Linked DNA regions of Neodiprion lecontei. The protein of the gene in region 1 interacts with the protein of each later gene in a pairwise test. Links are inferred from orthologs where the notes say so. Each region holds a gene or a part of one and is shown in the gene's direction. Other genes may lie near its edges.

Region 1 (4,630 bases):
ACATTGAAATGCAAATTTGAAAAGTCCGAATCAGGATATACCGTTCCTCCTTCTGAAAATAAAAGGGAAACAGTTAAGAAATTTCGTCTTGTCTTCGGGCTTTGGTTCCAACGAGCTATATGTATATAGGGTGAAGGACTTAAAATGCTACAGAACAATAGCACTGAAACTATTGATGATATCCAAAAATGTTTCAGATGAACGGAAATTTTTCATCGAGACATAAAGAATACATACGTAATCCGATGTGTAATTAGATATTTATACCAAAAGCCCTAGTATTTTCATAAAAAATCACTCAGTTCATGATTCTTTGGTTCATTGTTTTTTGTTAGATAAATATGTATGGAAATTGCTGTGACATCTTTAGCGGTTTGAAGATGTTACAGAGTGCAAAATTATGAATAAAAAGAAGACGCTTATTCCATTTTTTTTTTTATTACATTTGAATTTCTTATATCGTACGTTCGTTTATGCGGTTGAAATTAAAAAAGAATTAGTGATATTGTCGTTGATTAAGAACTAGACAATAAATCAGTGCAGCGAGTATCTTTTGATCTCCATTATTTCGGATGACTAGTCGACAGGGTTGGGAAACATTTGAAATGGTTCCATCTCAAATGGGCAATTAAAATGCAAAATTGTATCTCGCATCTTCTATTTCAAATAAATTCAAACGGTTATGCTCTATTTTTTATTTTGAACGGAAAAATGTATACATTTAATCATTTGCAAAGCGCCTCTGTTGAAATGGATTTTTATCCTTCTGAAAAATTTCCTAGCCAATCATTTAGAACTATATTCTCTCGGATGGGAATAAATAATGACAGAGTCAGTTATTCGCTAAATTTTCAACTCAAAAAGAGATCGTTTAGCAATGCATCAATTCTTTCGTTCTAATGAAATAGTGATTCGGTAAATACACGCGTAGGTAAATATGTCTGTCAGTAGTCTTTCGTTTCAGACAGATGAGAACGTTTTAAATGATATTCTACAAATAACCAGCGTTTGAATTACAGCGCTCGCAATATTTTTCGAATAACTATTTGACTAGCCACATCTAGCAAAAATCTTCAAAACTGCAGTCATAATAATAATAATAGCGAATGTAAAAAATAAAATGACGAGTACAAGATAGCGTATCTCGATTATTATAAGAAACACAGTTATTTGCAGCATGCATAAAGTCAGTTCGAACACCTATTTTTCATCTTGAATGGGAATAAGCAGAAAATTTTCATTCGTCCATACACACGATATTTCTACAAGCATTTTTCATTTTCCATTTCGAATGTCTTGCTAATCGAACGTTCGACGTAACTAAATTCACATCGATATTTCGTTGAATGAGTTAAACGAAGAGGAAACCAACCAAGCTTTGTACGTTCACGCGACACCCGAAATATCCGAGGAATTCCTAACGACGGGACGTTCGAGTCAATCCGCGGGTGGAAATGGTTTGAAATTTTCGTATCTCACCCCCACCGTCTATCGGCCGCAATCCGGTTGCGCGTTGTAGTTCTGCGCAGGTCACGTGACGGCCTTTGTGCAGCTGGCGCTGCCCTCGGTGGGGAGAAGAACCTAAACGCGAGTTGACAGACAGGCAGTGGCCAGCAAGCCTTGGCTGCGTAAGGACGCCTTTCGTCATTAAAGACATCATTGACCAGTATCAGAAAAGATATACGCATATGTACATATATAAATGTACGTACGTATGTCGATCGGTCGCGTACGCGTGTGAGGACTAGCCGAATAGTGTGGCTGTGTGTGTGCGTGTGTGTGTATGTGTGAGTGGGTGGATTTGTTCTTTTATTTTCATTTCATTTTTTATTCGTTTTAAAATTCTACATTGTTGTTACGGGGAGAGGTTAAATCCGCGTCAAGAGTTGTGTGTCGATAACAAGGATACCGGAGATAAATCACGCAAAACCGTCTCTCCCTTTCTCTCTCTCTCTCTCTCTGAACCTATCGCTCTCTATCTTCCCCGCCCTCAGGGGAAAATAAATAAATTAAAAAAACAAAAAAAAATCGCCAGCCCCCGAGCATCGGGTTTCGTTAATTTCTGGTTCGTTGTTTCGTTCCCCCTTCGCCCTCCCGCCGTCATCATCCTCCTCCCCCTCCTCCTCCTCCCAGCGACCAAAGAGTCACTGCCAGCAGCTGAGCGAGTGCACGTCGCGTTTCTGTATGCCGCGCCGAGTGTCGTGTCGTCTCTGTGTGTCGTCGTTGTGCGATCGCGCGTGCGACGAGGAGAAATATAACCTGATGTGAGTGAAACGTTGGATTTAAAAACCGCCTTTCAGTTTTTCCGGAATACCCCAACCTGTTAGTTATAAGCGGCCACCGGTCGTTTTGTCCTTCGCCCGATCGGAGCCGGAAAAATCGTGAGAATAGCGGAAGGTCGATTCGTCGCTTTCTTTTCTTTTCATTTCATTTGTTTTCTATCGGGTTCGAACCGAGGGTATTATTTATCGTACGTAAAGGCGAAACGGAAATAGTTGCACGCTGCTTCGGGTTTGCGTGCGGAAAACTGAGGTGAAAAAGAAGAGTAATAAGCGAGACAAGGGTAAACAAAGGAATAGGAGGGTCACCGTTGTTCGCAAGAGCTGATTGTAATAACCGTGACACATTGTGACGTGTGACGAGTGGAGAAGGTGAAGCAAAAGTTCGGGATAAAAAAAAAATTCAAACAAGTTTCGTTTTTATTCCACGTGTAACGGTGCCGCCGAAAAAAGAAGAATAAGAAAAAAGAAACAAACGAAACGATACCTCGTCGATGTCGAACAGGAAAATCAGCGGTGGTTAAAAGTTTGTGATCTTTCGCTCTTCGTTTTTTTTTTCCAACGTCAAAGCGACCGTCCCGCGTACAACAGTGCAATAACACAGCCGACAGGGAGATAAAAAAAAAAAAAAAAAAAAATAGGCGGCAATTGGTGATATGAAAAGAGGATTATTTTTCGGTGTGTAAGAAGTGTGGGTTTTAAAAAAAGTGACAGAAGAAACAACGAAAGGATCCGAGAACTAATAATCAGCGTCATATGACAGCGGTGAGAGGAGTTGGGAAAAAATTTTGTTTTAACGTCGATTTTTGATCCGAGATATTTGACGAAACCCGTGCTTGAAAAAAAAAAAAAAGCGTTGCACCAAGGGCTGATTAAGTTGTGTACAATCGAACATTCAAAGAATGCGAAGAAACGACGCGCCATAGAGGGTAAAACGTATAAATAGTGAGGTGGGCGAATAACGAAGCCGAAAGCCGTAGGGACCAGTTCGAAAACAAAACAAAAGAGCGTCGTCGTGCATCTTCTCGGTGCGTTTGGAACAGCACAGCAGCGACGGAAGAGGGTGAAAGTGAAAATCGTCGGTGATACGGGACCGCCGCTTGCCGACGGAGAGACAGACAGACGGGCGGAAACCCAGTAACAGAAGTAGCAAAAGTATACGAACAGGGGAAAAAAAAAATCTGCGACCAATCACCTCGAAGTCAGTCGGCTCTTCGCCTAGGGGGGCCTTAGGTGAATTTTTGATGGCAGTGGTGGGGCCGAGCCGGCACTCGCGGGTGTCCATGAGCGTGTCGATGTCGCTTATGCAGGGGGGTGGGGCCGGGGCTACCGGCGGCGGCGGCGGAGGCGGCGGGACGACCGGGACTCATCCGGGACAGGCGGTCCTAGCAGCGGCGGCGGCCGCCGCCGCCGTCGCCCAGGCCCCCCCGACTTATTACCACCCCGCCGCCCCCGCACCGCCACCACCACCCCCTACCCAGGACCCAGTACAGCCGGACAGACCCATTGGATACGGGGCCTTTGGAGTCGTCTGGTGAGTTGATTATACACGTGAATCTGTTGGTAGTACGATAGATATCGATCGTTTCTTTGTGCGCAATTGTCGTTATCGTATTTGGATGTATTTATTTTGGGACGAGAATTATTCACGTGCCCGTTAAGGGGCCATCCATAAATTACGTCACACGTTAATGCGGGGGGAGGGGGGTGGGGTCAAAAGCTTTGTGACGTCACGTGTTAAAATTTAAAATACTAAAACACGAAATTTATATATAAAGATTATTTAATGAAAATAAGAAAAAAATGAAAATAACTGTTTTCTTTTGATTATTTTTAAATACATGCATAAGTTTGAAAAATTTGTGACGTCACATCAGGGGGGGGAGGGGGTTCTAAAAATGTCACAACTTGTGACAAGGACGGGGGGAGGGGTTTAAAAGTTCTAAAATTCGCGTGGCGTAATTTATGGATGGGCCCTTATTGTGTGAGGGGCCATTTCACCTCGGTTCGATTAGGGTCTTATCAGAAAATCAACCTTGGTTGGATTTGGATAGCGATGTTTTTTAATTTTTCTTCTAAATCGAAAATGTGTTGCATTGTTTCTTTTTTTTTTTATTATTTTTTTTATTTTGGATTTTTCCAACCCTTCCCGGACGTTCCCAGAGACCATTGAATGATGATATTTTGGCAATGAATGCGCGACATTTTTTAAAATTATGAAAATAAAATTATGTAAATTCTGTGATCTAAACCGAAAAATATTCCAATCAAAATTGATGTGGCCAGGGAGAACAGTAATTTTTTCGTTCATCTTTTAAGTATATAATTTTTTTTTTTTGCCCCAGTCCATT
Region 2 (5,718 bases), on another chromosome or scaffold:
TTAACAACAATAAACATTTTGTATAAAGTACCAAATGACGATGATTATTATTGGTACGGATGTATATTATACAATTCACGAAGATGTTGCTTTGCTGTCATCCAATAACTGATCAAGATTTCGAATAAAGAAACTTGTCCTTCCATCGAGTTTCAACATTCATGTCTGAAGAATTAATCGTATTAAAATTCAGCGCCCTTGGAACCAATTGCAACGTCAAAATGCTCTTCACCTTCCTCCTCTTCGTCCTCTACCAGGTCGATTGGAGGATTAATCTCATCCCAAAAATGATTACCAGCTGTGAATACTACTTTCTGTACATGAAATGGTACTAAAGAGTTCATTCTCTCTTAGCTGCCGGTGTAATTGGTAAGAATGGAATTTCAACTAACTTTTCCATCAGAAACACCTTTCCAAGTATAACCTGCAGGTTCTCTCAATGTTATATCAGCTACAGGCACATTATTATCCCAAACCGCTCCAAGCACAGAATTGTCAGTGAAAGTATAGTCTCCGCGACCAAACATTTCTCCAGAAGCGCAAAGTGTTCCTTTGTACTCTGTTCCGTTGTTGTGACTGCCTTCCCGTCATTGTTACAAGCAGGTCAATTGGATTAATACAATTTTTTATGTTTATCATATGCAATATTATTGCAGACTCTCATCTCGCCAGCAACGAGATATGTAGAACAATTTTTCAGTTCCTTACGATATGTACACTTCTCCGACGATTTGATCTTCTACCCAGAAAGTTTCATATTTATTGAAATCTCCAGTTACGTAAGTTCCATGACCTGTAGATTTTTTGAAAGCGTTCACGTATTCTCCGTCTTCAAAATTACAGACATATCATATGCTTCCGGGTTATTTTGTCAAAAAATTAAAGATTTTTTTACAGACTTTGAGAATGGGAAAATTTTGTATAATATTTTCTTACCTGAATAAGATGATCGTGATGAAAGTAAAATCAAAATAAGCCACGTACATACTTGATACACGACTTTAAAATTTTTTACTTCGGTAAAAAGCTATATTTATATCCAACGTTGAATCTCTCAGGAAAAGAAAGACGAAACCTCGAGTATTCGCGACAAAAATTTAACACCATACAAGGCTAGAAATTTTAAACCTTGTCTCATAATCGATCGAATATCCTTGACGATCATGTATCCACCGGAGAAGGTGTCACCGTTTGAAAAAGTAAACCGTCCCTGATCCGTCTTTACGTTAGGATCTTCATCAGCGTCGCTCGAGGGTCTTGTAACCGACAATCTCGACATGTTAATTTCCACGTCAACCGAACTCTGCAATGCGGTTCCAGTATCGATGATTATCGTATTTAATCCTCGGTTCGTTGCTGTGGGTAGTTTAATTAAACCCTACCGCCCTGCAACGTCAGGCTACGTCAGGCGGACAGCATCAGCGCCGTTGACGTCGTAAGGCAAAGTGGAGTTTTTAGGACTGAAAGACCAGTCTGTTGCCAACCAATCATATCCCCGCATTCCGCGGCATGTGGTTACGTCATATTCAATGAAAACTGTGCTTGTGCCCACGTGACCTTGCAGACGACCTCTAATTTGCCATTGCCATCTTACGACCGTCACTGACCCGATTGACCAAAAAGTGATACCCTTGGCCGTTGAGAAGAATTAGGGTTCAAATTCGAATTACATACCCGCGGGTGAATCTTTACAAATAGAACTGTTGAAAATTATCAACACCGTAGACATGTTACGCACCACAACGAGCCTCCGATCCGATCTGGTGCGCGTCACGTTTCGAAATGTTGTACGGACGAATGTCGTACGATGTTTGGCAGTCGAATGTATTCACAGAAAACATCTGCAAAGGTATCTCAACGCAGCTTCGTATATCCCATGAATCAATCTTCATTCTCTCACACCTTTTACAAATTGTTATAACACCACCGTAACGTAACATTGATCGTCGTGATTTTGAGGTTACGTCACGTTACGTATGTTTCTATTTCCTATTCAAATCATTTAACTCTCGCTTCCTCCTCTTCTACTCCTGTTCACATTTTTTTGTTCTTACGAATTATCACTGAGGTTTGTAACTTCGTCATCTTTGATAATGGTTCATATCATCATCGTGATCACAATTATTATACATTACCATGTGTGCAATGATAAAACTAAAAAAAAAAAAATTTTTAAATCCACAAGTTGAGAATATTTTCAAGCCTGGTGTCCATCGATTATTACTTGAGTTCACGAAATTCAATCACACTTTGTGTCTTTGTAGTTACAGAGAAGTGTGTGGTTTTTTCATCTTTTCTCTGTACCTTTTTTCAATTAAATATCATATGACACCTCCAGTTTTTACTGTAAATTTGATACGATGGATAGATACTGTTGAGAATTACTTTTTGCCAACTCGAATCCTGGAAAAAAAAAACAATCTTATACATGATACAATTGTTGATCAGGCCTCAGTTATGTCACAGCCCTCGTGCAGTGACAGCATGGACACAGCAGTTGAGGTTCTACGCAGATTATCCGGATCACGTGTCCGTTATGCTACCCGCTCTCTCACCTACCATGGAAACTGGGTCTATAGTTAGTTGGCATAAGAAAGAAGGTGAACTTTGCAAAATTACTTATAAATATCAACTCGCAACATGTGTATTCTAATATATAAAAGTTACTTCGAATTTCAACTGAAAATTCTTTTACAATCATCTGCCAACATTCTTGAGTAGAGCCCAGATTTCGAAAGATCCAATCCTTTATTAAGAAGATAATATTAGTAAAGTTGAAAACATTTTGCAAGCCTATTCAATCTATACTGACACCAATCTTTAATCATTTTCATGTGACAATTTTTTTTCCATAGGTGACAAGCTGAACGAAGGTGATCTCCTAGCTGAAATTGAAACTGACAAAGCCACAATGGGATTTGAAACTCCGGAGGAAGGCTACCTGGCAAAAATAATCGTGCCTGCTGGTACTAAAAATGTTCCGATTGGCCAACTTGTTTGTATCATTGTTTCCGATGAGGCGAGCGTTGCGGCTTTCAAAAACTATAAAGCTGATGGAGCAACAGCTGCTCCAGCAGCATCAGCCTCGCCTCCGGCTCCAGCAGCTCCGGCTTCAACTGCCCCAGCAGCGGCTGTTCCAGCCCCAACTCCGACTCCAGCTCCAGCTGCTACAGCAACCCCTACATCTATGTCTGGTGACAGGGTCTTTGCAAGTCCGTTAGCTAGGCGGCTTGCAGGTGAAAAGGGGCTCAGTTTACAAGTAAGTGAAATATTATTGATCGACTTGTCAAGATATGAGATCGACAAATTGAAGAGGTGAAAAAATAGATTTATCAAACTGTAGTAATAGTTTTGTTGCTTAGAAACAAAGAATTTTTTTCTAATATGTAGGATATTAGTGAAGAAGAAATGTTTAGTAACAGCTCTTCTGAATCTCAGGATACTTTTAGTTTCGAAGGTAATGGATTTTCTGTCTCAAATAGGGTCTCAAGGGTTCAGGATTATACGCTTCAGTGACTTCCAAAGACCTTGCAGGTGCTTCTGCTGCAGCTCCCTCTTCGTCTGTTGGCGCGCCAACTTCAGCACCTGCAGCTGGAGGTGTATACACAGATATTCCAGTGTCAAATATCCGAGGGGTAATAGCAAAACGATTGCTTGAAAGCAAACAGAATATTCCACACTATTATTTGACAGTTGACATTAAGATGGACGCTGCCTTACAAATGAGGGAACAATTCAACAAAATGTTAGAAAAAGAGCAAGTGAAACTTAGCGTAAATGACATCATCATCAAAGGCATCGCAATGGCTTCGAAAAAAGTTCCTGATGGCAACACTGCTTGGCTTGGGGATGTCATTAGACAGTGAGTTCTCATAATGATATGAAAAGTAATTTATAATTGAACGGGAGTGATCGCAGAATGAAATAAGTAGTGTTTCGTACCAATTGTATACCAAAACAATGAATTTCCTAACCTAGGCATCTCAACTAAATTAATATTACATTTTCTTTTCCTCCTCTTCAGGTATCACAATGTGGATGTAAGCGTCGCTGTAAGTACAGACAATGGTCTTATCACTCCGATTGTATTCGCAGCTGACACAAAGGGTATTGTACAAATCAGCAAAGAAGTGAAAGCGTTGGCAGCAAAGGCGAGAGATGGGAAGCTACAGCCTAACGAATTCCAAGGTGGAACGATTACTGTATCAAACTTAGGAATGTTCGGTATTAAAACCTTCTCCGCAATCATAAATCCACCACAGTCCATCATTCTGGCTGTTGGTACGACCGAATCTCGATTGATTCCAGCGAAAAACGAAAAAGGGTAAACTAAGAAATCTCCTAATAGTACCTAAACTAGTCTTATTAGACTTATTTTCAGTTAATCGAGCACTTTTTTCCATCATATTGTTACTGTTCAAATTTCACAGATTCGAAACTGCAAACTTCATGAGCGTTACAGCCAGCTGTGATCATCGCACTGTGGATGGAGCGGTTGGAGCTCAATGGCTCACAGCATTCAAAAGTTTCATGGAAAATCCAACGACGATGCTCCTATAAAGAATCAATGTGCTGAGAAATTACACTCATCAATTCTACAAGCCTACTTTAGATCATCCCTAAGAGCCATCATGGGGTATGCGACAAGTGGATTGTCCTGTGTACATTTTTTGTGGATAATAACATTTAATTGATTTTGCGGATCACTTAAGTAGCACCAATTTTATAACATAATTTTCCAGCTTGCAACACTGTAGATTACTTTGCGTGTAAAATAAGTTTGCTTCGCGATAAGTATATACCTATGTTACATACGTATGTATGTACTATTCCGTAGATTTGAAAATGTACAAAAGAATACACAAACTGAGTTATATTTGCCGTCGTTAAATGTACTCGTTCAACTGTTGAACGCATCTACGAACGTATGTATAGCGCGATAAAAATGTTATTTCCTATTATTTATATAGATCAAATCAGTTTAGTATCCTCAGGTAACTGATACAGAATAAACATGTACATACTTGATGTTGCCAATCTTTTCGTCCTCTTAATACGGTAAATGTTGGCACTGCGATGATAATGTTTAAAACATTAAAATCTAAATAGATGAAAATTAATGCTACTGTGCAAAGTAAATAGATATTTAAGTAATCTAAGTATTTAATAAATTATACAATATCAATACTTGCCTTATTTTTTACTTGTTCAACTACTAATATCGTCCTGATGTCAGCGATTCATAACAAAAACAATCGTGTGTACCAATCATCGGTGCGTCACATAGAAAAACAACGGAAGACCTCGCATCAGTAAGTAAAGCACAACCCATACTGACCGGCTGTTGCACAGATGTCAGCGTACCACCCAATTCGCAATCACAAAACGCTAGTGTCTTTTTACTTTGGGATGATATACGCACAGTTCGGCTGCTCGCTGGTTTGTTGTTTGTGAACAGACATTTGACAATTTTACAATAACAATGCCAATCTTAGACAAGAGAAAAGGTGATGAGATTCTAGCATTGGTGCCAGCTTCGAAAAGGACGAAAAATGAAGTGGTTTTCAGCAGTAGAGAAAAGGCGGTGATCCAAAGTGTAAATATAACCTCACTTATATTTCTCTGAGAGACGAATTGAGACACTTTTATTACTTGGAACTAAATCGGATAATTCTTATCACAGGGCCCTCCCAGAACTTCATCACTTATGGCGCCGAT

What was found. The genes of interacting proteins can lie anywhere in the genome.
Region 2: the proteins of serine/threonine-protein kinase NLK (region 1) and dihydrolipoyllysine-residue acetyltransferase component of pyruvate dehydrogenase complex, mitochondrial interact in a two-hybrid assay, tested with the Caenorhabditis elegans proteins (2 studies listed by BioGRID, with this or other methods). The link is inferred for Neodiprion lecontei from reciprocal best matches to the Caenorhabditis elegans genes lit-1 and dlat-1.

The regions. Positions count from the first base shown.
Region 1 is NC_060264.1:9,756,604-9,761,233, forward strand, and holds the start of serine/threonine-protein kinase NLK, read left to right. Parts: upstream 1-1,619; 5' UTR 1,620-3,523; coding exon 3,524-3,813; intron 3,814-4,630. UniProt on the Caenorhabditis elegans protein: Has a role in the Wnt signaling pathway controlling the asymmetry of cell divisions during embryogenesis. Operates in the AB and EMS cell lineages influencing cell specification.
Region 2 is NC_060260.1:29,790,909-29,796,626, forward strand, and holds dihydrolipoyllysine-residue acetyltransferase component of pyruvate dehydrogenase complex, mitochondrial, read left to right. Parts: upstream 1-1,548; 5' UTR 1,549-1,727; coding exon 1,728-1,849; intron 1,850-2,448; coding exon 2,449-2,600; intron 2,601-2,855; coding exon 2,856-3,259; intron 3,260-3,482; coding exon 3,483-3,862; intron 3,863-4,024; coding exon 4,025-4,324; intron 4,325-4,430; coding exon 4,431-4,560; 3' UTR 4,561-5,187; downstream 5,188-5,718. Other genes in the region: U5 small nuclear ribonucleoprotein 40 kDa protein, read left to right, coding at 5,483-5,596, 5,684-5,718. UniProt on the Caenorhabditis elegans protein: The pyruvate dehydrogenase complex catalyzes the overall conversion of pyruvate to acetyl-CoA and CO(2).